Saccharomyces cerevisiae S288C: one gene and its partners. Each later gene encodes a partner of the first gene's protein in a complex. Each region holds a gene or a part of one and is shown in the gene's direction. Other genes may lie near its edges. The genes, in order: KAP114, HTA2, SPT15 and NAP1.

Region 1 (5,734 bases):
AAATATACTAAATAAAAATAATACTATCATCGTTGTGATGCAAAAAAAAAAAAAAATGAACAGAAAATAATAGTGATGTGAATGGTTTCGTGCCAAGGAACAAGGCCATGCATAGTAAACCTTCTCACTATGCCAAGTGAGGATAAATTGGGTGAAGAGATATCAACGAGGGTGATTAATGAGTATTCAAAACTAAAATCTGCCTGCAGACCAATAATTAGGCCTTCAGGTATCAGAGAGTGGACAATATTGGCAGGTGTTGCAGCTATTAACAGAGATGGCGGTGCGAATAAGATAGAGATACTTTCCATAGCTACTGGTGTGAAGGCTTTGCCAGATTCAGAACTACAAAGAAGTGAGGGGAAGATTCTGCATGACTGTCATGCAGAAATACTGGCATTACGAGGTGCTAATACAGTTTTATTAAACCGTATTCAAAACTATAATCCATCAAGTGGTGATAAATTCATTCAACATAATGACGAGATACCTGCCAGATTCAATTTAAAGGAAAACTGGGAGTTGGCATTGTACATCTCGAGATTGCCCTGTGGTGATGCCAGCATGAGTTTCCTGAATGATAATTGCAAAAATGATGATTTCATCAAAATAGAAGATAGCGACGAATTTCAATACGTCGACCGTAGTGTGAAAACAATATTGAGGGGACGCTTGAATTTCAATAGAAGAAATGTCGTTAGGACTAAACCAGGAAGATATGATTCCAATATCACTTTATCTAAATCCTGTTCTGATAAATTATTAATGAAACAACGGTCGTCGGTACTGAATTGTTTAAATTATGAACTCTTTGAAAAACCTGTATTTTTAAAGTACATTGTGATTCCTAATTTAGAAGATGAAACGAAACATCATCTAGAGCAATCATTTCACACTCGTCTACCGAATCTAGATAATGAAATTAAATTCCTGAATTGCCTCAAACCATTTTATGATGATAAATTGGATGAGGAGGATGTTCCTGGTCTAATGTGTAGTGTCAAGCTCTTTATGGATGACTTTAGCACCGAAGAAGCGATTCTTAATGGCGTGAGGAATGGATTTTATACCAAATCATCGAAACCACTGAGGAAACACTGTCAATCGCAAGTAAGCCGGTTTGCACAATGGGAACTATTCAAAAAAATAAGACCAGAGTATGAAGGAATAAGCTATTTGGAATTTAAATCTCGTCAAAAAAAGAGAAGCCAGTTAATTATCGCAATAAAGAACATTTTATCTCCCGATGGTTGGATACCCACCAGAACGGATGATGTGAAGTAATATATATATATATTGTTGAATATGCGTATATGCACACTTTTTTGTTAGTGCACCTTAAAGAAATATATACACAGTAGAAATATCTATATATCCAGAGTTCATCTATCTTTCCCTCTCTGTGGTATTATCATCACATATTTTATCATTTTTTATCATCTTCTTCGTCATCGTCAGATGGACCATCATCTATCATTTCCCCATCCTCATTGTTATCACCTGATCCATTGGTACTATCAATCGCTAACTCGGCACCCTGCAAAAGGTCAATTAATTCATCCAGTTCATCACCATGAACCAAATCAACTGGCTTTTGATTGTTATAGTTTCTCACCCTAGGATCCGCACCCACTTCAATTAAGTTTCTAGCAATAAAAGTTCCATGCTCAGGCTCCTCTTGACTGTATCTGACAGTAACATGTAACGGAGTGTCGCCATCAACGTCGTTTTGTGGGTCTATTTCGATTTCACCGTCTTGATCGAGAATCTTGTCGAGAACTTCCCAGGATCCATACTTACAACATAAATGTAACGCTGTATTCCCCAGTGGTTCTTTGGATTCGTTAATTAGCTTTGCAATCTTCTCAGGATCATTATCTAAGCTATCAAATACGGTCTCCAAAAGATCCAGATTGTTTCTTCTAGCTGCATCCAGCAATTGTTCACTTAAAGAAGCACCTTCAGTATTCATGATCAAAAAAAGAAACTAATTTATTTTGTGAAAAACTTCGACTTCTTTCACTTATGACTTTTTTCACTGGGATTCAGAAACTACCTCACAGGACCCCTATATAATGAATTTATTGTCAACCTTTCTATCAACGCGTTATACCTTGGGTATACTAGGAAAAAAAAAAAAAGATACATATGGATGTATATGACCTGCATACACGATCCGAAAATCTTGAACGTAATTGTAACACTATCAACACATTAAAATGGATATTAATGAATTGATAATAGGTGCTCAATCAGCTGATAAACACACTAGAGAAGTTGCGGAAACGCAATTGTTACAGTGGTGTGATTCCGATGCATCTCAAGTGTTTAAAGCGCTGGCAAACGTTGCCTTACAGCACGAAGCTTCTCTAGAATCGAGACAGTTTGCTTTATTGTCGTTAAGAAAATTGATCACCATGTATTGGAGTCCAGGATTTGAATCATACCGTTCTACATCGAACGTCGAAATAGATGTTAAAGATTTTATCCGAGAAGTGCTACTGAAATTATGCTTAAATGACAATGAAAATACCAAAATAAAAAATGGTGCATCTTACTGTATTGTTCAGATATCTGCGGTTGATTTTCCTGATCAATGGCCGCAGCTTTTAACAGTTATTTATGATGCTATCTCTCATCAGCATTCATTAAATGCGATGTCTTTATTGAATGAAATTTACGATGATGTCGTATCTGAAGAAATGTTCTTTGAAGGCGGAATTGGCTTGGCGACAATGGAGATCGTTTTCAAAGTACTCAATACAGAAACTTCTACTTTGATAGCCAAAATTGCTGCTTTGAAGCTACTTAAAGCATGTCTTCTACAAATGAGCTCCCATAATGAGTATGATGAGGCGTCACGAAAAAGTTTTGTCTCCCAATGTTTAGCTACTTCTTTACAGATATTGGGACAATTGTTGACTTTGAATTTTGGAAACGTAGATGTTATTTCTCAGTTGAAATTTAAATCCATTATATACGAGAATTTGGTTTTTATTAAAAATGATTTCTCTAGAAAGCATTTCTCAAGTGAATTACAAAAACAGTTCAAAATAATGGCAATCCAAGATCTGGAAAACGTTACCCATATAAATGCAAATGTCGAAACTACTGAAAGTGAACCCCTTTTAGAAACAGTTCATGATTGTTCTATTTATATTGTAGAATTTTTGACTAGTGTTTGCACTTTGCAATTTAGTGTTGAAGAGATGAACAAAATTATAACATCTTTAACCATTCTTTGTCAGCTAAGTTCTGAGACAAGAGAGATATGGACAAGCGATTTCAATACATTTGTATCGAAGGAAACAGGCCTAGCAGCATCATATAATGTTAGAGATCAAGCCAATGAATTTTTTACTTCATTACCCAATCCTCAACTTTCCCTAATTTTCAAAGTTGTTTCCAACGATATAGAACACAGCACGTGTAATTATTCAACTTTAGAATCTTTACTATATCTCTTACAGTGTATTTTGCTTAATGATGATGAGATAACTGGTGAAAATATCGATCAATCTTTGCAAATTTTAATAAAAACGTTAGAAAATATCTTAGTATCACAAGAAATACCAGAATTAATATTGGCGCGTGCAATTTTGACTATTCCCAGAGTACTAGACAAATTTATAGATGCATTACCTGATATCAAACCCTTGACATCTGCATTCTTGGCAAAAAGTCTTAATTTGGCGCTAAAATCTGATAAAGAGCTCATTAAATCCGCAACATTAATAGCATTTACGTACTATTGTTATTTTGCCGAACTAGATTCAGTCCTTGGACCAGAGGTCTGCTCAGAAACCCAGGAAAAAGTAATTCGAATAATCAACCAGGTTAGTAGTGATGCCGAAGAGGACACTAATGGGGCTTTAATGGAAGTATTAAGTCAAGTCATTAGCTACAATCCGAAAGAACCTCATTCAAGAAAGGAAATTTTACAGGCTGAATTTCATCTTGTGTTCACGATCTCATCCGAGGATCCAGCAAATGTACAGGTCGTTGTACAAAGTCAAGAATGCTTGGAGAAACTATTGGATAATATCAATATGGATAATTACAAAAATTACATTGAATTATGTCTCCCATCATTTATTAATGTGCTAGATTCCAACAATGCAAACAATTATAGATACTCACCCCTGCTATCATTAGTCTTGGAATTCATCACAGTTTTTTTGAAGAAAAAACCCAACGATGGATTTTTACCAGATGAAATAAATCAATACCTATTTGAACCATTAGCAAAAGTATTAGCGTTCTCTACTGAAGATGAGACCCTACAGTTAGCCACGGAGGCATTCAGCTACCTGATTTTCAACACAGATACACGAGCCATGGAGCCAAGGTTAATGGATATCATGAAGGTTCTAGAAAGGCTGCTGTCTTTGGAGGTATCGGATTCAGCCGCTATGAACGTCGGTCCATTGGTAGTTGCCATATTCACAAGGTTTTCAAAGGAAATCCAACCGTTAATAGGAAGAATTTTGGAAGCCGTTGTGGTAAGGTTAATTAAGACACAAAACATTTCTACTGAGCAAAACCTTCTTTCTGTATTATGCTTCTTAACGTGTAATGATCCTAAACAAACGGTGGATTTTTTGTCTAGTTTCCAAATTGACAATACTGATGCTTTGACATTGGTGATGCGAAAATGGATAGAAGCCTTTGAAGTCATTAGAGGTGAAAAAAGAATCAAAGAAAATATCGTTGCTTTGAGCAACCTTTTCTTCCTGAACGACAAAAGGCTACAGAAAGTGGTTGTCAATGGTAACTTGATACCATACGAAGGGGACCTGATCATTACAAGATCAATGGCTAAGAAAATGCCAGACAGGTATGTACAAGTTCCACTTTATACCAAGATCATTAAATTGTTTGTTTCTGAGTTAAGCTTCCAAAGTAAACAACCGAATCCAGAACAATTGATCACAAGCGATATTAAGCAAGAAGTGGTAAATGCTAATAAAGATGACGACAATGATGATTGGGAAGATGTAGATGATGTACTCGATTACGATAAGTTGAAAGAATATATTGATGATGATGTCGATGAAGAAGCAGACGACGATTCAGACGATATAACGGGACTCATGGACGTGAAGGAATCTGTTGTTCAGCTACTGGTAAGATTCTTTAAAGAGGTTGCAAGCAAAGATGTGAGTGGCTTCCATTGTATTTACGAGACTCTATCCGACAGTGAACGTAAAGTTCTTTCAGAAGCCCTTTTGTAGCTTATATACATAAGCCGTGGAGATATCAGATGTAAAGTAGTTAGAGTAGAAAAAATGCGGCAAAATAAGCGCCGTCTATATAAAAGAAAGAAAGTGTTAAATAAACTGACCACAGAAGGTGGCAAAAATAATACGAGATTTAGAAGTCAGATAATGGACCCGATTGGAATAAACAAAGTCTTGGACCATTTAGCACCCTCAGAGCTTATCAAACCTGTTAAGAGTTGCCATAATAAACCTTCAGTGTTGGTGTTGGATGACAGGATTGTGGATGCGGCAACCAAAGATCTCTACGTGAATGGGTTCCAAGAAGAGATTCAGTATCAGAATCCTACACCGGAGAACTTGCAACATATGTTCCACCAAGGTATTGAAATATTGGATTCGGCAAGGATGATCAACGTGACACATTTAGCGCTTTGGAAGCCTTCTTCTTTTAAGTTGGGGAATCCTGTGGACTTTGCTCTAGATGATAACTACGATACGTTTTGGCAGAGCGA
Region 2 (6,621 bases), on another chromosome or scaffold:
TTATAGGTGGCTGTACATGATTACAAAATCATTTGTTGATTATAACGGAATGGTGGTAGAAAAATATGATGTGACAAGAGGGACTGATCCGCATCGCGTTGATGCGGAATATGGTAATCAAGGTGCTGATTTTAAGGGCGTCGCTACAGAAGGCTTTGGTTGGGTGAACACAAGTTATTTGCTCGGATTGAAATATATGAATAATCATGCAAGAAGGGCTCTCGCTGCTTGTAGTCCACCATTGCCATTTTTCAATAGTTTGAAACCCTCTGAGAAAAAATTGTATTACCTATAATATTGACGAACATATGTAAATAAGATATATGTTATATTCTTCTTTCTATCAATAACCATGAGATTGTGCCTCAGTAATATTTGAGACGATTTAGAGTAAGGTCAAATATTATTATTAATCAAGTTGTGTAAAGGCTCATTTGTGAAGGTTAGAATAGTAATCGATGATTTTCAAGTAAAAGTGTTTGAAGGGCATTTCAGTAACATCTTCAAACTAGGAGTTTGTTGAGACAAAAAAGTCTGATTTTCATAAGATCATAACTTACGCTTTGAAGATCGTTATGAGTACCTTGTAGCTTGCCAGATCTTCTTGCTTATTCTTAAGCTCTTGGGTAGTACTGTATAAGACTGCTTGACATCGGGAACACTATCATTACCGTGTGATAGAATTCTCGTACCAAGCCGGTTCACCTTTGCGTGGTCTAGTGCATAGGAAGAATGACTAATAGAAAGCTTTCATTTCTATTAGTGTCTTAAATGCGAAGAAGGTATGGGAATCTATTACATACATGAAGAATATAGGATCTGTATATCGTCGTCACCGACGTAAGGTTTTTTTGTCAATTCTCGGTGAACAATTTTTTGCAAGAAATATATTGATACTTCTTGTTGAAATATTTTTCTTTTTCGGAAAACAAAAACATAAAATAATTATTTAAGAAAAAAAATTAATTAATAAATTTAAATAGAAAATCTTTTTTACTTAATAATAATTAAATAAATAAGTCACATGATTTATGTAGGATCAATTTGCTCAAGATTAATTTATTATTATTGATATTAGTAGGTGCCAGTTGAATAGCTATATTTTCAGTCTGTTTGAACGTTCTTTTTTTCATTTTCTGCTGAAAGCAAGTACTCCTACTTTTATTACTTTACATGTTATCGGAGGCCTGCACAGACACTTGTATCCTATACTATCAAGGTAAATATGATTGATTGATCCTCTTGGGAAATGGGATTTTAAGTTTTGTTAGCATTCTGGTTTGCCAACCTGTTGGTAAAGCACTATTTTTCAAGCTTTTGCAACGAGATTTGTCTCTTTGATTTTTTATTTATGATTTCTAACTTTTTACTTTTAGTTAAACTATTAAAGAATAATTTTCGCAAGGTACATAGCGATTTAAGTAGTTCAGAAAAGAAATTATTTAAAAATTACTCGCTCTCTTATTTGAAATGAAGATGGTTTTCAGACAAACTCCTACACAAGCTTGTTACTGGCTTTCAGTCCGAAAACAGCTCCAAACCCTTTAATAAAACCTTTCGTTTCTTTTACTTTTTATTCGAATTATATAGCTCTTTGACATTCCTTTTTTAGTATGATTCAAGCTCCCCTCTTTTCCACCCCGTGAAAAACAGAATATCATTAACCGGGATTCACTGACATCGTCAAAAGGAGAGATCAAGATATTCAGTTTTTGTCATTGCCGTCGTGATCATTAACTATAAAGCACATAAACTACAAGTTTAGAAAATGCCCAAGATCTTTTGTTTAGCGGACGTGTGTATGGTCCCTATTGGCACCGACTCTGCTAGTATTTCTGATTTTGTTGCACTCATTGAAAAAAAAATCAGAGAAAGCCCATTAAAGAGCACTTTACACAGTGCAGGAACAACAATTGAAGGGCCTTGGGATGATGTGATGGGTTTGATTGGCGAAATCCATGAATACGGTCATGAGAAAGGATATGTTAGAGTACACACTGATATTCGTGTTGGGACTAGAACTGATAAGCACCAAACTGCTCAAGATAAGATCGATGTTGTTTTAAAAAAAATTTCTCAATGAATGCTCGTGTAGTGAACCTAAATAGGGTATATCTTTAAGGAGAGTTTAAGAAACAATTTAATAATAACTGTTTGCAAAATATCTTTCCCAATTTTTTTTGTTTATAAAGTTATATATATACATTTATACAACTCCCTTCGGAGGCTGATAGACTAGACCCTTCCAATCATATCTGGACAAGTAACAGAACCCTAATGTTACAATATATAAAAAATGCCACTAATAAAAAGAAAACATGACTAAATCACAATACCTAGTGAGTGACTTAGGCTTGAGTAGAGGAGGAGTATTTGGTAACAGCCCTAGTACCTTCGGAGACGGCATGTTTAGCCAATTCACCAGGTAAGATCAATCTAACGGCTGTTTGGATTTCTCTAGCAGAAATAGTGGATTTCTTGTTATAAGCGGCCAATTTAGAAGCTTCAGTAGCAATTCTTTCAAAGATATCGTTAACGAAAGAGTTCAAAATAGACATAGACTTCTGGGAAATACCAGTGTCTGGGTGAGTTTGCTTCAAAACTTTGTAAATATAAGAGGAATAGGTCTCCTTTCTAACCTTAGATCTCTTCTTACCATCGACGGAGGTTGATGTTTTCTTGGCAGCTGGCTTCTTTTCAGCTGGAGCTTTGGAAGCTGGTTTCTTTTCGGCGGCAGAGGACATTAGTTGTAGAGTAAGTTGTTGTTGGTTTGAGTATAGAGCAATCAGAAAAAATTAACAAGAAGAAAGTAAAATTTTTAAAAAGCTAAATAAATAAACAAAACCAGTCAGCAAAAAAATTTTACACATATACCATGATATATAATAATATATTTAAAAACCTGTGTTATGCTCAAATAACGGTTACTGATCCAAAACCTTATATATGACGGCAAGTGTCTCACTGTTGCATTACGCGATGTTTCTTTTCTTTGTTCTTGTAAGCGCGATTTTACCAGAACTAGATGGCGCTCGTGATCCTGAAAACGGGGAGAAATTTTGAGAACACCGCTTTATTAGGCGAAGCGGTGGGCACAGCTCACGCGTAAGGTGTTCCCATTATTTCTCAAAGTGATGCGAATTTCAGAGAACACATTAACCTGGGGGCCATAAACGCGACGTGCTACCATTTTCGTTACGTATACTTAGGCCAGAGATTACAACATGACTACTAATATCAAACATAACTCTATATATAAGGGATGAAGATGTATGCTTTCTTAGAATTTCAAACATGTTCCGTTAAAGTTTTACTTTTCGATTTCAATTTCGACTGCATGATGCTTTTCTTAGGTAGTTTTTTGTTATTAAATAGTATCATAAATTCTTGTCTTTTTACATAAGAATTAGGAAAGTACAGAACAAGAGCAAATTTAATATATAATGTCCGGTGGTAAAGGTGGTAAAGCTGGTTCAGCTGCTAAAGCTTCTCAATCTAGATCTGCTAAAGCTGGTTTAACATTCCCAGTTGGTAGAGTGCACAGATTGCTAAGAAGAGGTAACTACGCCCAGAGAATTGGTTCTGGTGCTCCAGTCTATCTAACTGCTGTCTTAGAATATTTGGCTGCTGAAATTTTAGAATTGGCTGGTAATGCTGCTAGAGATAACAAAAAAACCAGAATTATTCCAAGACATTTACAATTGGCCATCAGAAATGATGATGAATTGAACAAGCTATTGGGTAATGTTACCATCGCCCAAGGTGGTGTTTTGCCAAACATTCACCAAAACTTGTTGCCAAAGAAGTCTGCCAAGACTGCCAAAGCTTCTCAAGAACTGTAAGAACTGAGTTGAAAAGAAACAAAGCAAATCAAACATTCTTGTCATTTGGGGTTTTAAAGTAGGTCATATGAGGAAGACTGGTATGTCTTTTATCTAACAGTTTTATAAATAGCGTCGTTTTATTAAAGACAGTGTATAGTATTACTATTAATAAAGAAAATAAAAAACGTATCAAGTTTACGGTTTTACTTACGGAAATGCTAACGTACTACAGCTTTGACGTTATAACTTGGATTTTTTATTCATTAGTATACATGTTATAAAGATATATTACAGCTAGGCTCTCTTTCTTTTGTTACGTCTTTGATAATACCCATTTTCATCCTTTTCATGCTTTCTCTTTTCCCTCGATCTCGCATGCTTTCTCAACTTTTTATCAGCAGAAATTTGTGGAGCGTTAACAGCCAGAATTGCCCTTTTAGATCTCCTTTCCTTTCTTCTTTCTAATACGGTCTGTTTGACAGCAGTGTATATTTTTGTAAAATCGGATACTTGCAATTTGTCTTCCAGTATTTTTAAACATTCGTTTGAAAGAGTGCGTAGTTCTTCCTGTTCTTCATCAACTGCTCTTGAGTAATATGTTTCTAAATAACCATATAGCGGCAATAATATCTTTTCCCCTTCTGCAATTACTTCGTCTTCGTCCAGAACTTGAACTAATAAGGCCAATAACTGAATACACGCCTTCTTCGACATAAAAGAATCCATACGATGTTCATCCGACCTGATAATACCACCAATTCGAGTTACCATATAATCAATGGCGGTAGTATATTTTAGATCCTCTCCAGTTTGTTTTGATACATCCATTATGAACGGCGTGCGTTGCTCCTTCCATAGGATACTGATATTAACTAATGTTTTTATTGAGACGTTCGCAAGATTCTCCGGAATAGAAGGCGCACCTAATTGGTGAAGAATTCTTGTTGCAATGGTTTGAATTTCCAGATTGGTTAATGATATCTCCAGCTTATCCTTATTGGCTATGAGTTGATGAACAAGATTTGCCGCCGATTGACGGACCCATGAGTGCGGATACAAGAGACATGTGATAATACCATCCCATATGTCTTTGAAACCATGTTTATAAACGCTCTCTGTTGCTTCCATATAAGATGAGAACGTATTTAAAGCTGAGTATACCAAATCCCACTGATGTTCTGATCCTACCGACGTATCGCTCAAAATGTACCTTATACGCTTGATGGCAAGCTCGTCTAGCTCAATAGTATGTTCAAACCCAATACTTTTCAAGTAGACCTTATAAGTTCTCAACCCAAGATTTAAAAAGGATGCATTATCAACCTGTTTTAGCCAAGCGGCTATATATTTTTCAACAATTTCAAGGTCCTTATTTTCAAGCTTTGGAAGCATGGTGGAAATCAATACTGAAGCCATCTCACGGCATCTTGGCGCATCATCATTAAAAGAAACATTAACTAGCGCCAGAAAGAAGGAAGATGATAATTTGGATAGTAAAGCAGGATTAGCCTTTGTAATAATCAAATTGATCAATTCCATTACGGACTGACGGCCGGACTCGGTAGGATACTGTAAATTGTCGACCATAAATTTGAACTGCTTTTCTAAACGACCCTTACTTTGGTCATATTCCATTAAAAATTGGTAGTAAACGCTCCTGGATACATCCCTAATTTCTTTTGAGTGGTTTGTGACCATGATTTCCCTAGTAGTATCCGCAATGTCATAGAGTTCTGGAAGCATGATATGTTTTGAAACAAGTGCTTTTAGGAAATTAAAAGCAAGGCCTTGTCTGCTTGGTTCATTTAAATCTGGTAAGACCCTCCCTAGAACATAACTCAAAGCAGTATCCTTTAATGTTGAATCTGTGTGACGTATAAAGGCAGAAAGAAACTTTAAACCCATTTGGCATAATTCGCTTGAAGTTGAAGGAGAAACCTTGATAATATTTAGTACCTTCCTCGCACAGTTTTTGAAGATTTCACTAGATTCATCGGAAAAATCTAGCCTAATTAATGTAATCAGGATACGTAAAGTACTAATTACCACACCTTCATTTTCCGAAAGTAACGAATCTCTCAAAAATGGAATAAAACCCTCTAGGTGCGAGACAGTTAAAAAGGAGCGGTGTCTCGTTATTACGTTCCTAAGTAAGTCTAAAGCAAATTTTTGTAAAGTGCTGTTCAAAAGCAAACTGTTTGAGTTGATGGTATAAGATTTCGACTCCAAATTTACCAAGAAAAAGTCTTCTTTTTCATCTACTTGGTCTTTCACTTTTTTCTTTGGTATTTGAGGGGAATTACTCATTTCTGATTCCTGGAAAAGCTGATGGCAGAACTTGAGGATACTTTCTGACTCAGAGTCACTATTATGATTTAAACCCAACAAATATCGTCTCAATAATTCACTCAGTTTGTTTTGATTTCTTAGATTAATTCTGACCATCAACAAAGCCTTCACAGGAGAGAGTAATGTTCCAAATTCTGTCAGGCTGATGTTTGAGGCGAGAATTTCACCAGCATCATAGCTTTTATTACTCTTAATTTCTTTCACTTTTGTATGATAATTCTCAGAGTCTTTTTCTTCACCAGCGAACCCAAAGATATTTTCCATTATAATCTTAACAATCATACTGGACGAGGTATCCAAATCGGAGTGTTTTAAGACTCCGTGCATACTCTTTAATATGTAGTGGACAGTGTAACTTAACACATGAATTTGAGAACCACGTTTTAATGTAGCCATTAATTCCTTTATCACAAAGACAAGATACTCAGCGCCCAAGATAATACTGATT
Region 3 (6,973 bases), on another chromosome or scaffold:
GTGTTTGTTCCCACACTTTGTAAAACTCACAGAATTCAAGAATGCTCTTGTATGTCTGGATTCGTGAGTCCAGCTCATTCATCGAAACACCGCCAGCGGCAATGTTCTTAATCAGTTTCTGCGTTGTAGAATAGACTTTGGGGAGGAACTTCCTGGAAAAATTGCCCTTTTCGTCATAACAGTTCACGATGTAGCTGACACTTTGCAATAATAACAGTATGTTCTTTAATTCTTTGTAGTGGAAAATCATAGGCAACTCTACTTTCAGCGCTATCCTTGGCATGATTTTGATCACACATCCCTTACCTTCATTAGTGACTAGAGATTGCTTGTTTGTGTCAAAGAAATTTTTGAATTCGTTCAAGTGGTCCGTAATATTCCCGTCTTTACAAAGCTGGATTACCATCTCTAATGCCAACTTCCATGCATATAGCTCAGGCCCCACCGTGTGCAGCTCCGTGCTTCGCAGCTCCTGCAGAGCATCCTCGGGGATTGGGAACCTCTCATTTAGCAAGTAATTCACATAACACAGATTTAGAAACCATTTCCATTGTGACTTTTCCCGACATTGCGAGAGTAGCCCATGAAAACTCGTCTTCACCCTGCGGTGCTGTTTCAGCTTAATGCAAAGCATCACGCCGACATACTGGAATACGGATGCCCAATTTTGATACAACTCATCCTGCAAATTTACCATGTACTGGACTAATTCATTGCAATTTCTTAGTGCAATCTTATAGTGGAACTTACTGTCTCTCATAAGTGGCAAGTCATGTAACAGCAGAAACTCGCAACGCATGATCTCTTCTACCAAATCTGTGTCGCTCTGGTGCGTTTGTAACCGTTCTTTCAAACTGGAAATGTAAAGCTCTGCTAGGTCAAAATTATACGTCTCCTGTATCAATAACTCCACCATCTCAAACGTGACCTTACTATCCTCCAGAACTGAAAGCGTACATTTCGTTTTCAATAGCTGAAACATCTGGATAGACATGTTCATGAGGCCATAATACTGCTTCAACCCTTCCTCAGAACCGATTTTATTCGCAATTGAATATGCATGGTCTCTGTATTCCTGTGCTAAGTGGTATACTTGTGAAATACTAAGTTTGTCGCCAAGATTTTCCATGAATTTGTACTTCTTTCGAAATCGTTCAATTTCTACCAATACTGATTCCCCTCTGATAGCTGAGATGTCGGGATTCCCTTTGCTGATAGATCTAACTCATCTCTTTACGTATTTTAATTGTGAAGCCGTAAATAGTTATCTTCCAAGTTTCTCTTACGCGAGCTTTTTGGGAAAAGAAAAAAATTTGAAGATCTACATATAAAACATGGCTTCAAAGGATTACTAATGACTTTTTTTACCTTGATAGGTATTCTTGATGGTAAGAGTAAACAAGGGACGTGAAAATTACAGTAGTTACTGTTTTTTTTGGACTATAAGATCGGGGGAAAGATAACACATAAGAAATAAAACGACTACTAGTTAGACTGCTCTGCGGAAGAAGCAAGGAAGTAAAGGCTGCATTTTATTTTTCTTTTCTAGTCCAACATAAACAGGTGTATCAAGAGAAACTTTTTTAATTATGGCCGATGAGGAACGTTTAAAGGAGTTTAAAGAGGCAAACAAGATAGTGTTTGATCCAAATACCAGACAAGTATGGGAAAACCAGAATCGAGATGGTACAAAACCAGCAACTACTTTCCAGAGTGAAGAGGACATAAAAAGAGCTGCCCCAGAATCTGAAAAAGACACCTCCGCCACATCAGGTATTGTTCCAACACTACAAAACATTGTGGCAACTGTGACTTTGGGGTGCAGGTTAGATCTGAAAACAGTTGCGCTACATGCCCGTAATGCAGAATATAACCCCAAGCGTTTTGCTGCTGTCATCATGCGTATTAGAGAGCCAAAAACTACAGCTTTAATTTTTGCCTCAGGGAAAATGGTTGTTACCGGTGCAAAAAGTGAGGATGACTCAAAGCTGGCCAGTAGAAAATATGCAAGAATTATCCAAAAAATCGGGTTTGCTGCTAAATTCACAGACTTCAAAATACAAAATATTGTCGGTTCGTGTGACGTTAAATTCCCTATACGTCTAGAAGGGTTAGCATTCAGTCATGGTACTTTCTCCTCCTATGAGCCAGAATTGTTTCCTGGTTTGATCTATAGAATGGTGAAGCCGAAAATTGTGTTGTTAATTTTTGTTTCAGGAAAGATTGTTCTTACTGGTGCAAAGCAAAGGGAAGAAATTTACCAAGCTTTTGAAGCTATATACCCTGTGCTAAGTGAATTTAGAAAAATGTGATGGGGAAGGAGTAGACGAAAAGAAAAAAAGGTTTTCTATTTGTTCCATTTTCTCAATTATTAATGGTCCTCAAAGAAATAAAAGAAAAGGAAGAAGAAGTAATTGTAATATCAAACGGTTTTTTATAGTATATTCTTCTTATTCTATATTTATATATCAATGTTTTATAATAAGATGTTTATTCATAGCATATCTGGTGGATCGTCTCTATTAAGCGCCAGCGAGGTGTTTGCCTCTGCATTTTTCAGCAAAGCAAGCTCCCTTTCCAGCTTGAATCTATGTTCACGCTCATCCGACAATTCTTTTTCATACTTTCTTTGTGTACTCGTAAGCACTTTTTTAAACTCACTTGTCATTATTGAAAGTGAACGTGATCCAGAACCGCTTGTGGGGCTTCCTACAGAGGAAGGTGAACTTGGATCCCAAGTCACCGGCGAACTCGCTGGTGATGACATGCCGAAATTATGTCTGCTTGAATTCAGCTTGTTGTTGGCTTTTTCAAGTTCTTTATTTTCCTGCTCCAATTCGTGTAATTTCTTTTCAGTTTTACTCAAATTCGAGTGGTTGTTTAATAACTTATCTTGTAATTCTCTGTTAGTCCGCGTTAGCTTCTCGATATCTTGTACATATTCGGCACGGTCATTCTCGAATTGCTTAGTCAAGAAATTGTGTGCCAGTTGCAAATCACTAAATGCCGTTTCTAGTTCTTCTAATTTTTTAGAGGAGTCTTCCTCTTGAATTGCAGCGGCGTTAGGCGAAATAGGTGGTGATGACGTATTTTTTTCTAGACTGACGCAGGTATCCAAGATAGAATTTATCCCATTTTTCAAGAACTTCACAGGGTCATCTAATGGTATTGGCTTGATATCAATGCCTTTCTGAATGGAGTTTGACATCAAGAAGGACGTTAATTCTTGAAGTATTTCATTTTTATCGTCATCAGCTTTGTCAGTATGGTAAGCACCCTTGTTAAATTTATCTGTGCCACCCATATTAGTGGAAGACCTCGCTCTTTTAGAATTTGGGAAACTGTTGTTGTTTTCCTTCGTAAGCTGGTCTATCCCTGTAGTGTTAATGGATTCAAGGATCCTCAGCATCATTTCATACCAATCCGCAGACTTCGGCTGCAGCTTCAGCAACTCATTGAGTGTGGGATTTAGATCATCAGAGTTCAAGTGCTCTTTTTGAACGTAGTATAGGGCGAACTCAGACACTAGCTTTTTGTCAAGGTCTATTTCTGACTCGTCATTTTTACTTCTATACAGAAGATAGTCAAAATAGTCAATGGAAGTGTATGGTCTACTATTGTGATGCGGATGTGACGGATTTTGGGAGAGAAGGTACTGTTTCAATTCATCGTATTTCAATGGATACTCTTCGTATCGTTCTGCACTAAAAAGCAAAGGGTTCGCTCTTCTCGAGAGCTCTAGATCAAATTTATGCATATGAAACGTGATATCCACCGTTATTCTCCCTCTCGAACACAGGACTTCGATAGTATCTTTTGTAATCTGTTCAGCTCAACTATTTGTTACCATACCATCATCATCACTTTACACATACTCATCATGTGTTTATTGACGCGAGCGCGACTTGCAAGAAAAGGCATAATTGTGGCGAGGTAATGAAAAATTTTTGACGTTTCCCTCATTCATTCATACATAACATTTTGGGATTTTGGAACAAGGCGAGAGGAGAACGTCTTTGGACCACTGTAATAGTACACAATGCAAGATATTTTAAGTTTATGCTAAAAATCCAGAAGTGACGCTTCATCAACGGTGTCAATATGGACCGAATTTTAGTGTATCTTCAATTGTAACCGTGAGGAGTAGACTCTTTGAATACGGGGGAAGAAGAAATATCATATTCAAAGCTAATTCATTGAAATTAGTGCTTGTCTCATCTAGCCTTTAGTGCTTAATCTCTGGAGGAGCACATATGGGGTTAAAGCCATGCCGGGACTGGGGGCCCCTATCGGGGCTCGAACCCGAATCCCGCGAGTATTTATTTGAAGGTCCGGGACGCAAGTTACCTAATCTGGTTAATTGATATCCCATTTAGGCGATGACGTTCCTTCCCCTCACCCCTCGGCTTGTTAGAAGATCTATTGTTATAGCCTCCTCTGGAAGAATTTATGCCAGATGAAGAAAAAAACTTCTCGAAGTTCCCAGATGCCCAAATGAGGGCTTTCCATCCCTGTTAGCTGGAAAAGTGTAAGTATATCTATATAAAAAGTCGGCCTACTTTTGCCAGGTTCGTCTTTCACTTGCACTCTCTTGATCTTACTTTCTACTCAAAAAGAATCCAATACACAAAAATAAAATCAGTACTATTACTAATAATGTTGTCTAACGCTAAGCTCCTTCTATCATTGGCCATGGCCTCTACGGCTCTCGGATTGGTATCTAATTCTAGTTCCTCTGTAATCGTGGTACCATCAAGCGATGCTACTATTGCCGGTAACGATACAGCCACGCCAGCACCAGAGCCATCATCCGCCGCTCCAATATTCTACAACTCGACTGCTACTGCAACACAGTACGAAGTTGTCAGTGAATTCACTACTTACTGCCCAGAACCAACGACTTTCGTAACGAATGGCGCTACATTCACTGTTACTGCCCCAACTACGTTAACAATTACCAACTGTCCTTGCACTATCGAGAAGCCTACTTCAGAAACATCGGTTTCTTCTACACATGATGTGGAGACAAATTCTAATGCTGCTAACGCAAGAGCAATCCCAGGAGCCCTAGGTTTGGCTGGTGCAGTTATGATGCTTTTATGATCGAATAGTCTTTAACTAGAGACTTATTTTAAACAGGACATGTGTTTTTTACTAATATTGTATTCTTCGATGTAGTCGTTATAGTTCTTTTTCTTCAAATCATTTAAATAAAGAAACTATTTTTTCTTTTTGTGTGTAGAATAATAAATGTAATTCTAGTTCTTCCTTTTTTTTTTTGGCTTTTTCACAGCTCATCTTTTTTACCCATTTGGTCATGATTATGTTGTTTGCCGTTGTGCAATAGGGAGTTTGTAAATCCTGAGATAAAGTATGGTGCTTCGAGGTTAGCACTTAATTGGCGTAAGCTGCTTAATGACAAAACCCTCCTTGGGCTTGGCGTATACGAAATATGCTCCTGCGAAGCGCAGTGGCAATATTGAGCACTATGTTAACGATAACGTGTTGGACTCATCGTCTGTGCACATATGATTGAAATCGGGAATCCTCTGCTTTTTTTAGGTAAAATCAAACTTTGGCTAAATTTGGATGATTACTTAAAGTAAGAAATGAATCTTAAGAGATGTATGAGTTTTGTGATAATTGTTGTGATTCCATTGTTGCCAAAGGCCATAATATTTTGAAATTCACATTCCTTCTACAAGGTATTTGTTTCTTAAATGTTCATCTCCAAGAAATAATTGGTTTCGTGGTCTAGTCGGTTATGGCATCTGCTTAACACGCAGAACGTCCCCAGTTCGATCCTGGGCGAAATCATTTTTTAAATATGCCAAGCATAAAGTGTAACTCTGTTTCTCTGTCTGTCTCTATTTCTTTTTTAAAATCGTGCTCACTATCGTATTGTATTGTATTGTATTGTATTATTGCTATATTATTTTTTATGTATTTTGTCTATAATACCACCCCCCGTCTTAATTTCTCTTTTGATACATTAAAATATAGGCAGTCCTCGAATCAGAAGCTTCTTCGCCACCTTTCAAAACGTCATCGTCCTCTAGTTCGGTAATATTTACATCATCTATTCTATACCATTTGTTGTGCTCGCTATGATAAACATCCGCTGTGTAATGACCGCCATCGGAACTTACCCCATGATGGTATATAACTCCGGTTAGCTTATATCTTCTATCATCAATCCCTGAGGTGTTGTTTTTCAATGTTATGGAAGACATTGATTCTTCAGGTATGATTAACTCGTGACCATATTTAATTTTTTTCCTGATCTTCTCAATACGTCCATTGTACGCGTTATAGTTCGTCATTGCGTTGTCTTTGTTCACATTATTTATGAATGAGAATCTTTTGAATTGGATTAAAAGAACTTGCGGCAATTTATCAATAAAAGTCTGCTTCTTGGCCTCGACATCATTCCCTGACGAGGACTTAAAGGGTAGCAATTCGTATTCACTAAATTTTTTGAATGCAGTTTCTAGATCATTCACACCAGCATCTGAAATGTCCAATTGAATTGTTTGGAACGGATCGAGTGTAATCGATTGAGATTCCTTATTGTTCGGTATATCTAACACAGATCTGAACTGGCCACCGAAAAGTTTGGAGATTGGTGATGGAACAATCTCGACAGTCCTCTTGGCAGCGGTCTTAGTTTTCTTGCCTCTTTTGCTAGATCCGCTCACTTCATGCCAACCATTTTCTTCGGTAGAGTCATCATTGATCACGCCATATTTTTCTATCAACTCCTTCAGTCTAGGACTAGCATTTTTGATAAACTCTGCTTTTCCATAACGTGACAAATTTCTAATAAAGAAAACTTTCAATTGTTCATCATTAATACTTTGCAGCATATTTTGAATTTCATTATCGGTTAAGCCATCAATTGCAGAAATTAATTCCTCGTGTAATTGGTCCAATAAGTGGGTCAAAAATTCTTCTGCGTCTTCCTGATGGCCCC
Region 4 (7,611 bases), on another chromosome or scaffold:
TTCGTTGTGCTTGTTGAATCGTAGTGGTACACCTTTTAGGGTCTTAATCTTTCTTATTTTTCTTTTATATTTCGTTAAAGAATAATAAACTTCGGAGATAATACATATAATACTGAGAGAAAATTACGTTGGCTCTTATGTAGGTAAAGAGGGGTAAACTTGATTTTAATGCTTCCCCCAAAACTTTGTTGCTATTTTTTTCAGTTTGTGGGATCTCTTTTTGACGTAAGTAGTCATTGGATCCTCACCAACTTTGGCTAACAACTTACCCTTAGCTTTCATATCTTGTAAACGATCAATTTGTTCCAGTTTGTCACTTGGCAGCATGATGGCACGATCCAAAGTGTATGGTAAACCTCTATTTCTTCCTCTTATTAGCATGGCAATTATGACTAGCTTCGATAATACGGTGAACTGGGCAGATAGTGATGTGTTGGTGTTTGGGTAACCCAATGACAAACCCACTGTACCATAAGCGCTAACAACTTCAAACAATATAGCAAAGACATTGAAATCAGGTTTATTAACGTCTTCGATTTTTCTGCCCTCGCATATGCATATTATAAATAATCCAAGGAATAGGTACCATAAATCAAAAGAGAGTTGCCTCCTCAAATGAGCACCAACAAACGATTTTGGGGACTGTTTCTTCGGCTTGGACTTTGTAGATACAGTGTCTCGCTCTTCGGATTCGCCATCATGGTCTGTTTCCTTTATATCGTCTTCGTGGGTGATATTTTCGTCATCTTGTCCACTATCGTATAGTCCCAACGATTGCTCCTCATAAACATTCGTTCTTCTAATGGAAATCGCCAGCGGCAGGACCGAAACGTACATCATTAGCATATAAGACACCTGAATGGACGGGTGTAATTTACTTAAGTCAACAACGTTGAATCCAGCAGTTCTTGTGCATACAGACTGGAAGAGGCCCATGAGAGCTCGATAACCTTTAGCAACCTGCCTTACTACAGCGGAGTTGAAATCCAGAATTATGAAAAGAATCCAATCCGTAGCGTTTAAGACGACTAAAGTTGTAAACAGCCACCATGTGGGGCCGCTGGGGAACAGCAACGTAAAACACCTGCGCGGATGATCCAAGAGAAACCCAAGACTTTCCTTAAACTGAGATAGGTCTCTCGAGGTCTTGAACATGATCCAAATGATAAATCGTAACATAATTGGGAAGCCTGTATTGCCTATGATGATGAAGAACATCATGAAAATCAGCGGATACGGCGCAGTATCAAAGGAAACCATTGAATCAGCGGTCAAAGACAGACCCAAGTTGCTGAATGCACTCATTGCAGTGAAAAACCCCCACCAGGTTGGAGAAACTCCATTTCGTCTAATAATCTCTGAGTAGTGGTGCCTCGTACAGGCCCATGGAACGATGGTCACAAACGCCAAAATGTTGAATCCGATGTAGTATACCATGAGAATGCAGCACAGCAATCTCAAAGCACGATATTCGACACCGCCGAGTTCCTCCTTTTGTTGCTTTGTGAGTCCAATGAAGACGGAGTTTCTGCCAAAGGTTGGCTGCCACGATAGATAGTTGGTGCTCATTGTTCTGGTGAAGGGGTGGCCTATATCACCTTCACGTCGTTTTGGTTTGGGCGGGTGCGCTTGGAACTGTAAATTCAAAGACTCTTGCGGTGAAAAGCTCATCTCCTCATCAACAAAAGATGAAGGCGCCGACTTGGCCAAGTTTCTATGATTTTCAACTACTTGGCCTGAGGTTTTAGGACTCGGTGAAGCAGTATACGTTGGGATGTTACATGATTGCGTTCTAGATATTTTTTTCTTCTTGGTGACCATATATTTGTGAGGAGCACCGTCAAAGTAGTCATGGTCACCTTCATCTCTCCGCAAGCCAAGCAATTTCTGGAAACTTTTCGTCTGGGCTAGCTTGTTCAATTCCTGAGAAGATGGCAGGACAGAATGGCGTTTCAGTGAGCAGTGGGGGGCTCTTCTCTCATGACGTTCCTGCACAATGAAAGCGGGTCCATTGGTCTCGCTCGAAAAAGAATCCGTGGAGTTTGCGTTGCTCTTCTCTTGTTGTTTTTGTAGCATCATTATCGATTTGTAAATGTCTCTTGGGTCAACGTCTGAGGGTTGGCGCTTACTTGAGAAGTTTGGAGGCGAGCTTTGCGTGTCACTGGATTCCTCCTTAGAGGAGGAAACATTCAACGGTGAGATTGAGGACAATGCGGACGTGTCAGGAGAGTCCATCGGCACATCTGAAGCGGATTGTCGTGGGTCTTCTCTGGAAACAAACTTCCCACGGAACAGGTTGTCCTTGAAACTCCTACTTCGAGCGGCATTGCCACTGCTGCCCGATAGTTCCCTTTGTTGCAACGTCATGGTCCTTCTTAGTTTAAAATTCTGTTTGGAGATATCCCTAATGTTGTCGAAGTACCTTTCAAACCAATACAGCCTGACAAAGGCCAAAAACCCATGAATAAGTATAGGCGTGGACAGCAATGTAATGACGTACACCACTATCTGCTGGTACAGGTTGAAATCGTTAGTGCTCTTGGTGGCCAGCCCGCCCTGTGTAGACGCTCCAGCAGCCAGAAATAGCACATCGATGAACGCCGTGTTCTTGCACGGATATAACAGAATGGACCCGATAATCGACAGCGTGATCAGGTAGATATAGTGCACCACGATGAAGTTGGGGAAAACGTATTTAGCAATGGGTCTGCATGATTTTAAGAACCCGGAAATGAAGTCTCTTAGCCGATGGCCCCATGATTTCTTGTGCACCAACCGTAACTGGAAGGGCAGTGCCAACGAAGCCCTGGATGACGTCCTCTTAGCTGTTGGCATGAGTGGTTCTTACAGCCTCTTATCGTCGGTGAATAGTACAAAATAGCCTCTTTTCTCATCATCTGAAACCTAGTTATTCCAATATCATTTCTCTTTTTCAGCCGCACGGCCGAGGGGATTAGAAACGAAAATTCACATCTCATCCTATTCTTCGCAGGAGATCAAAAGTGAAAGAGAGAAACGGGAAACAACCATCTGAGCATGGCAGCTTGCATCAAATTATCAATCATCGTGTGATGTACCATGGCCTATTCAACGGCGGTACGCTTGTACTACAGGGCGCTTTCAGCGCATGCCGGGCACTCCCTTCTTTCTTCCGTCGTCTTGCATCTCTCTAATCCCGTCGCTATGCTCTGATATAACCGTTGCCAAAGTGTCAAGCTGTTGTGAAATTGTGCTGGAGGCATTGATGGTTCTTGAACTCTTCCTCTTTTTAGTCTGGCTTTAGCTTGATTGGGCACGGGCACTCAATGGACGGGGTATCCACCCAGCTTGGAAAGGGGCATATAAAACCAAAAGAGAACGTTAAGAAAAGTGCAAATGAAAATAACAGACCGGGAGATCGCAAACGCAAACGCAATAAATGTCGTTTTGGAAAACATTGCAGAGACAGCCACGTACCATCTCGTTGTTTACCAATGACATCGCGTCCAATATCAAGTCGCAGAAATGCCTGCAGTTGCTGAAGGGAGACGTCTCTCATCGATTCGACGTGGAAATCGCCAACCGCTTTCCCACGTGGGACCAGCTGCAATACATGAGAACTTCGTGCCCGCAAGGCCCAGTTTCGTTGCAAAGGCAGATTCCAAAGCTGGATTCAGTGCTCAAATACAAGCACACAGACCCGACGTTCGGGATGGACCTGCAGAAGTGTGTCCAGAGGGGACTTTGGAATCCAAAGGAGGCGCTTTGGGTCGACTGGGAAAACAAGTTGGTGGGAAATGAGCCCGCAGACATTGACAAGTACATCATTCAGCGCAAATAACACCTATATACCACTATATTGAACACATACATATTTTTATAACAATGGGCTATATCTTTTTTGTATTACCCGCGTAATTGGGAAAATTTTTCCTTTTAAATAGCAGCGTTTGGGATCAAAAATGGCAGTTTGATGGTAGATTAGGAGGATTTAGTGAGCCCAGTGGGACCAAGAGCAAAGCGCAAGATCATGTCAGACCCTATCAGAACGAAACCCAAGTCGTCGATGCAAATCGACAACGCCCCTACGCCTCACAATACCCCAGCATCGGTTCTGAATCCGAGCTATTTGAAAAACGGCAACCCAGTTAGGGCCCAGGCACAGGAGCAGGATGACAAGATCGGCACCATCAACGAGGAGGACATCTTGGCTAACCAACCCCTGTTGTTACAGTCCATCCAGGACAGACTTGGCTCGCTGGTGGGCCAGGACAGCGGGTATGTGGGGGGTCTTCCCAAGAACGTTAAGGAAAAGCTGCTGAGCTTGAAGACTTTACAAAGCGAGCTATTCGAAGTTGAAAAGGAATTTCAGGTGGAGATGTTTGAGCTAGAGAACAAGTTTCTGCAGAAGTACAAGCCCATTTGGGAGCAGCGGTCCAGGATCATTTCAGGACAAGAGCAACCCAAGCCGGAACAGATCGCAAAGGGCCAAGAGATTGTGGAGTCACTCAATGAGACGGAGTTGTTGGTGGACGAAGAAGAGAAGGCCCAAAATGATTCCGAGGAGGAACAGGTGAAGGGAATTCCCTCATTCTGGCTAACCGCATTAGAGAACTTGCCCATCGTTTGCGACACGATCACTGACCGCGATGCGGAAGTTCTGGAGTACCTGCAAGATATTGGTCTGGAATACTTGACGGATGGTAGACCCGGTTTCAAGCTGTTGTTCAGATTTGATTCTTCCGCCAACCCATTCTTCACCAACGACATTCTGTGCAAGACCTACTTCTACCAGAAGGAGCTCGGTTACTCCGGGGACTTTATCTACGACCACGCAGAAGGCTGCGAGATCAGTTGGAAGGACAACGCCCACAACGTCACTGTGGACCTAGAAATGCGCAAGCAGAGAAACAAGACCACCAAGCAGGTGAGGACCATCGAGAAGATCACTCCCATAGAATCCTTTTTCAACTTCTTCGACCCTCCCAAGATCCAAAACGAAGACCAAGACGAGGAGTTGGAGGAAGACCTCGAGGAACGTCTAGCTTTAGACTACTCCATCGGGGAACAACTTAAGGACAAGCTAATTCCTAGAGCCGTGGACTGGTTTACCGGCGCAGCCTTGGAATTCGAGTTCGAGGAGGACGAAGAAGAAGCGGACGAGGACGAAGACGAAGAAGAAGATGATGATCACGGCTTGGAGGATGACGACGGGGAATCTGCCGAAGAGCAAGACGATTTTGCTGGCAGGCCGGAACAGGCTCCTGAATGCAAGCAGTCATAATCCCAACGCACTTCGCAAGAGTGGTCATAACCGTATTCATATATTTATATACATATGTATACATACATATATAGATATATATATGTATATACATGTAAGTGTGTAAGCTGAAATATATGTTAAAGCGCATGTAACTAAGACGACAATAATAATAATAATAATGATAATAATAGCCTAGATTTTCTCCGCCGTGGGGGATGATCGTATTCTTTCGGATTTAATAATATAGCAGCAAGGGTTATAAAAGGAAAGATAACGGAATGTATCGGTAATCATTAACCATCACTCACTCTCCAGAACCGTAGCGTAATTATGTCTGAATCATCTATTTCTTCTTCTAAACCATCTGTGGAATTGCCACAAGCAACCTGGTCGCATCTGCAAAGATACCCAGCTTTATCCAAGTTTATTAAATATGCGGAATCTCTGCCACCTGTGGAGAGATTGATTTCCTTCAACCTCGTTGTTTTGGGATCTGTGAACCAGTGGGTTTCCGAATCGTCCAGCTCTCCTCGTCTGGTGAAGCAAGTTGTTGCTGCTGGGAAGGAAGGGGCCTTCAAGTTGGACGAGTTAGTTAACCTCTTGGTGTTCAAGGAGGGTGTCGACGGCTTGCTGTACAATTGGAAATCACATTCCAACACGCCAGGGATCTGGCTGGTGTGGTTCTTCGTCGACTACGTCGCCAACATTTCTAATACTCTGTTGAGGGAGTTCCTGATCAAGCCATTGCACTTGCAAGGTTCTACCGCATCGAAGGAGATCGGCTCTTCCGGTGAGGAGAACAAGGTCACTGATGCTTCTTCTTTGCCCCACGTGGCAGAGTTGTCTTCAACGACCAGAGGTATGTCGCAGGAGATCCAGTCCAAGGTCAAGTCGAACTATATCGACCCAACCAAGGACCTGGCTAAAGAAAAGTACGACGCCATAGTGAAGCCCACAACTGACAAGTTGCAGTCTGTGTACATCGACCCAACAAAGACTAAGCTTAACGAAACCTACCAACGCTTCACCACTGTCTATGAAAACAATCTAAGTAAATCTGAAAGCGTCCCTAAAGCCATTGTATCCACCGGGTTGGACTTGGGCAATGCCACCATTGAGAAGCTAAAGGCCTCAAGAGAAGACCAAACCAATTCTAAGCCCGCGGCTGTGTCGACCAATTAGTAATTTGGTTTTGCGCTAATCGTGCGCCTGATTTTTTTTCCTGCCACTCTTATATAGTTATTTGTTATTATTCTATTATTTCATCTATTGTTTGCTAGCTATTATGTACGTTGCTGTTTGAGCACTATATACAATTGAATACCAAAGAAAAAATTATAAAAACGAAAAAAAAAAAAAAAAAAAAAAATTTGGTTATAGCTCGATCAAGAGACAATAAAAGTGAATATACATGGTGCCAAGGGAAAGTCCTAGCATGTCAAACAGTCATCATACATCCCAGGGAAGAAGAAACAAACTTTCAGTGTGGGTTAAAAAAATAATAAACACCACTACCACAACTAACGCATCGGTCTCGAGCAGTAAACCAAGACGCGGCACTAGGGCTGGCCCCACAAGAGTTAAGCGTGCTGAGTTGGATCCGGATGGAACAACCATCAGTTCGTCGTTGCGACCATTGGTTGATCGAAATTCGTTGCATTCGAGCGAATCCGATGACGAAGGAGACCGTCGAGTGGCATGGGATGAACCACCAACAGGCAAAGTAAGACAGCAGCAGCAGCAACAGCAGCAACAACAAAACGACAACGCAAGTGTTATTCCGCTAGTATCGTTTTGTTCCTCGTCAGTGAAGTCGTCTACTTTCTCGGACATTCATTCAATACAGTCTACGAGGCCCACAATATTCTCTAACAGGACGTTTGAGACGAATTCTAGCGTTCTGGCCATCCCACCACAGAGTATATTGGATCGATCAAGAACCCTCCCGCCGTCGAACGCAAGTAACACTACCACAAGAAGACCGTGAATTGGCTACCTAAGATGAACGTCCTATATTGTATTATTTGTGTATGTATGTATGTGCGTGCCTATGCAATGCTACATGGGCAATAGCCCCACAGAATGCGAGCCTGCCCTTTTTCTTCTGGATCTAATTTTTTTGAACCTTCTTTGGAAAACTCTTATGCAAGCAGAAAAAAGATAAATGCCCATGATCAATAGCAAAATCTCGCTATAATGCCATATGGTCAGCACGACCTTGAACAACCGAGAGTGAGGATTGTTTGAAGTTTTCTGTTCAGCTGACTGTGACCCAGTCTTGATGTTTGGTTGAGCTTTGATCATTTTCCATTTGGTGAACTCATCGGGTTCCCTGTCAAGGACCTCGCCAAATTCCTGCTCCAGGA

What was found.
Region 2: the proteins of KAP114 (region 1) and HTA2 are in contact, whole or in part, in a cryo-EM structure (PDB 8F0X), measured with the Saccharomyces cerevisiae proteins. Residues at the interface, in NP_011273.1 of Saccharomyces cerevisiae: Ser70 (codon at 2,427), Gly72 (codon at 2,433), Glu74 (codon at 2,439), Ala120 (codon at 2,577), Val121 (codon at 2,580), Asp122 (codon at 2,583), Phe123 (codon at 2,586), Pro124 (codon at 2,589), Asp125 (codon at 2,592), Asp155 (codon at 2,682), Asp156 (codon at 2,685), Val157 (codon at 2,688), Val158 (codon at 2,691), Ser159 (codon at 2,694), Glu160 (codon at 2,697), Gln203 (codon at 2,826), Asp859 (codon at 4,794), Ile861 (codon at 4,800), Ile862 (codon at 4,803), Thr863 (codon at 4,806), Arg864 (codon at 4,809), Ser865 (codon at 4,812), Met866 (codon at 4,815); in NP_009552.1 of Saccharomyces cerevisiae: Gly24 (codon at 3,513), Glu58 (codon at 3,615), Tyr59 (codon at 3,618), Ala62 (codon at 3,627), Glu63 (codon at 3,630), Glu66 (codon at 3,639), Leu67 (codon at 3,642), Asn75 (codon at 3,666), Lys76 (codon at 3,669), Lys77 (codon at 3,672), Arg79 (codon at 3,678), Ile81 (codon at 3,684), Pro82 (codon at 3,687), Arg83 (codon at 3,690), Leu87 (codon at 3,702), Arg90 (codon at 3,711), Asn91 (codon at 3,714), Asp92 (codon at 3,717), Glu94 (codon at 3,723), Leu95 (codon at 3,726).
Region 3: the proteins of KAP114 (region 1) and SPT15 are in contact, whole or in part, in a cryo-EM structure (PDB 8H5B), measured with the Saccharomyces cerevisiae proteins. Residues at the interface, in NP_011273.1 of Saccharomyces cerevisiae: Ser205 (codon at 2,832), Asn208 (codon at 2,841), Asp263 (codon at 3,006), Ser361 (codon at 3,300), Glu363 (codon at 3,306), Thr364 (codon at 3,309), Gly365 (codon at 3,312), Leu366 (codon at 3,315), Ala368 (codon at 3,321), Ser369 (codon at 3,324), Tyr370 (codon at 3,327), Asp374 (codon at 3,339), Asn377 (codon at 3,348), Glu378 (codon at 3,351), Thr381 (codon at 3,360), Leu421 (codon at 3,480), Tyr510 (codon at 3,747), Tyr513 (codon at 3,756), Glu546 (codon at 3,855), Asp547 (codon at 3,858), Glu554 (codon at 3,879), Gln558 (codon at 3,891), Ala590 (codon at 3,987), Asn591 (codon at 3,990), Val592 (codon at 3,993), Gln593 (codon at 3,996), Val596 (codon at 4,005), Gln597 (codon at 4,008), Tyr933 (codon at 5,016), Leu936 (codon at 5,025); in NP_011075.3 of Saccharomyces cerevisiae: Val71 (codon at 1,800), Thr73 (codon at 1,806), His88 (codon at 1,851), Ala89 (codon at 1,854), Arg90 (codon at 1,857), Asn91 (codon at 1,860), Arg98 (codon at 1,881), Phe99 (codon at 1,884), Arg105 (codon at 1,902), Arg107 (codon at 1,908), Glu108 (codon at 1,911), Lys110 (codon at 1,917), Leu114 (codon at 1,929), Phe116 (codon at 1,935), Lys120 (codon at 1,947), Met121 (codon at 1,950), Val122 (codon at 1,953), Thr124 (codon at 1,959), Lys127 (codon at 1,968), Asp131 (codon at 1,980), Leu134 (codon at 1,989), Arg137 (codon at 1,998), Lys138 (codon at 2,001), Arg141 (codon at 2,010), Ile142 (codon at 2,013), Gln144 (codon at 2,019), Lys145 (codon at 2,022), Ala150 (codon at 2,037), Lys151 (codon at 2,040), Phe152 (codon at 2,043).
Region 4: the proteins of KAP114 (region 1) and NAP1 are in contact, whole or in part, in a cryo-EM structure (PDB 9B3F), measured with the Saccharomyces cerevisiae proteins. Residues at the interface, in NP_011273.1 of Saccharomyces cerevisiae: Val927 (codon at 4,998), Asp928 (codon at 5,001), Asp929 (codon at 5,004), Tyr939 (codon at 5,034), Asp942 (codon at 5,043); in NP_012974.1 of Saccharomyces cerevisiae: Arg290 (codon at 4,877), Lys291 (codon at 4,880), Gln292 (codon at 4,883), Arg293 (codon at 4,886).

The regions. Positions count from the first base shown.
Region 1 is NC_001139.9:43,226-48,959, forward strand, and holds KAP114 (karyopherin KAP114), read left to right. Parts: upstream 1-2,219; coding exon 2,220-5,234; downstream 5,235-5,734. Other genes in the region: TAD1 (tRNA-specific adenosine deaminase), read left to right, coding at 82-1,284; ankyrin repeat-containing protein ANK1, read right to left, coding at 1,427-1,972; anaphase promoting complex subunit DOC1, read left to right, coding at 5,388-5,734. UniProt on the Saccharomyces cerevisiae protein: Required for nuclear protein import and mediates docking of import substrate to distinct nucleoporins. Serves a receptor for nuclear localization signals. Mediates the nuclear import of TATA-binding protein (TBP) and of histones H2A and H2B.
Region 2 is NC_001134.8:232,615-239,235, reverse strand, and holds HTA2 (histone H2A), read left to right. Parts: upstream 1-3,443; coding exon 3,444-3,842; downstream 3,843-6,621. Other genes in the region: alpha,alpha-trehalase NTH2, read left to right, coding at 1-295; ECM15 (Ecm15p), read left to right, coding at 1,769-2,083; HTB2 (histone H2B), read right to left, coding at 2,349-2,744; UTP20 (Utp20p), read right to left, coding at 4,119-6,621. UniProt on the Saccharomyces cerevisiae protein: Core component of nucleosome which plays a central role in DNA double strand break (DSB) repair. Nucleosomes wrap and compact DNA into chromatin, limiting DNA accessibility to the cellular machineries which require DNA as a template.
Region 3 is NC_001137.3:463,714-470,686, forward strand, and holds SPT15 (TATA-binding protein), read left to right. Parts: upstream 1-1,589; coding exon 1,590-2,312; downstream 2,313-6,973. Other genes in the region: cohesin-loading factor complex subunit SCC4, read right to left, coding at 1-1,129; PEA2 (Pea2p), read right to left, coding at 2,495-3,757; SPI1 (Spi1p), read left to right, coding at 4,657-5,103; mRNA-binding ubiquitin-specific protease UBP3, read right to left, coding at 5,973-6,973. UniProt on the Saccharomyces cerevisiae protein: General transcription factor that functions at the core of the DNA-binding general transcription factor complex TFIID. Binding of TFIID to a promoter (with or without TATA element) is the initial step in preinitiation complex (PIC) formation.
Region 4 is NC_001143.9:523,039-530,649, reverse strand, and holds NAP1 (histone chaperone NAP1), read left to right. Parts: upstream 1-4,009; coding exon 4,010-5,263; downstream 5,264-7,611. Other genes in the region: TRK2 (Trk2p), read right to left, coding at 166-2,835; FMP46 (putative redox protein), read left to right, coding at 3,419-3,820; PLN1 (Pln1p), read left to right, coding at 5,576-6,427; YKR045C (uncharacterized protein), read left to right, coding at 6,681-7,232; UIP5 (Uip5p), read right to left, coding at 7,304-7,611. UniProt on the Saccharomyces cerevisiae protein: Acidic protein, which assembles histones into an octamer (in vitro). Involved in the regulation of the localization and the function of the septins during mitosis. Involved in the function of B-type cyclins.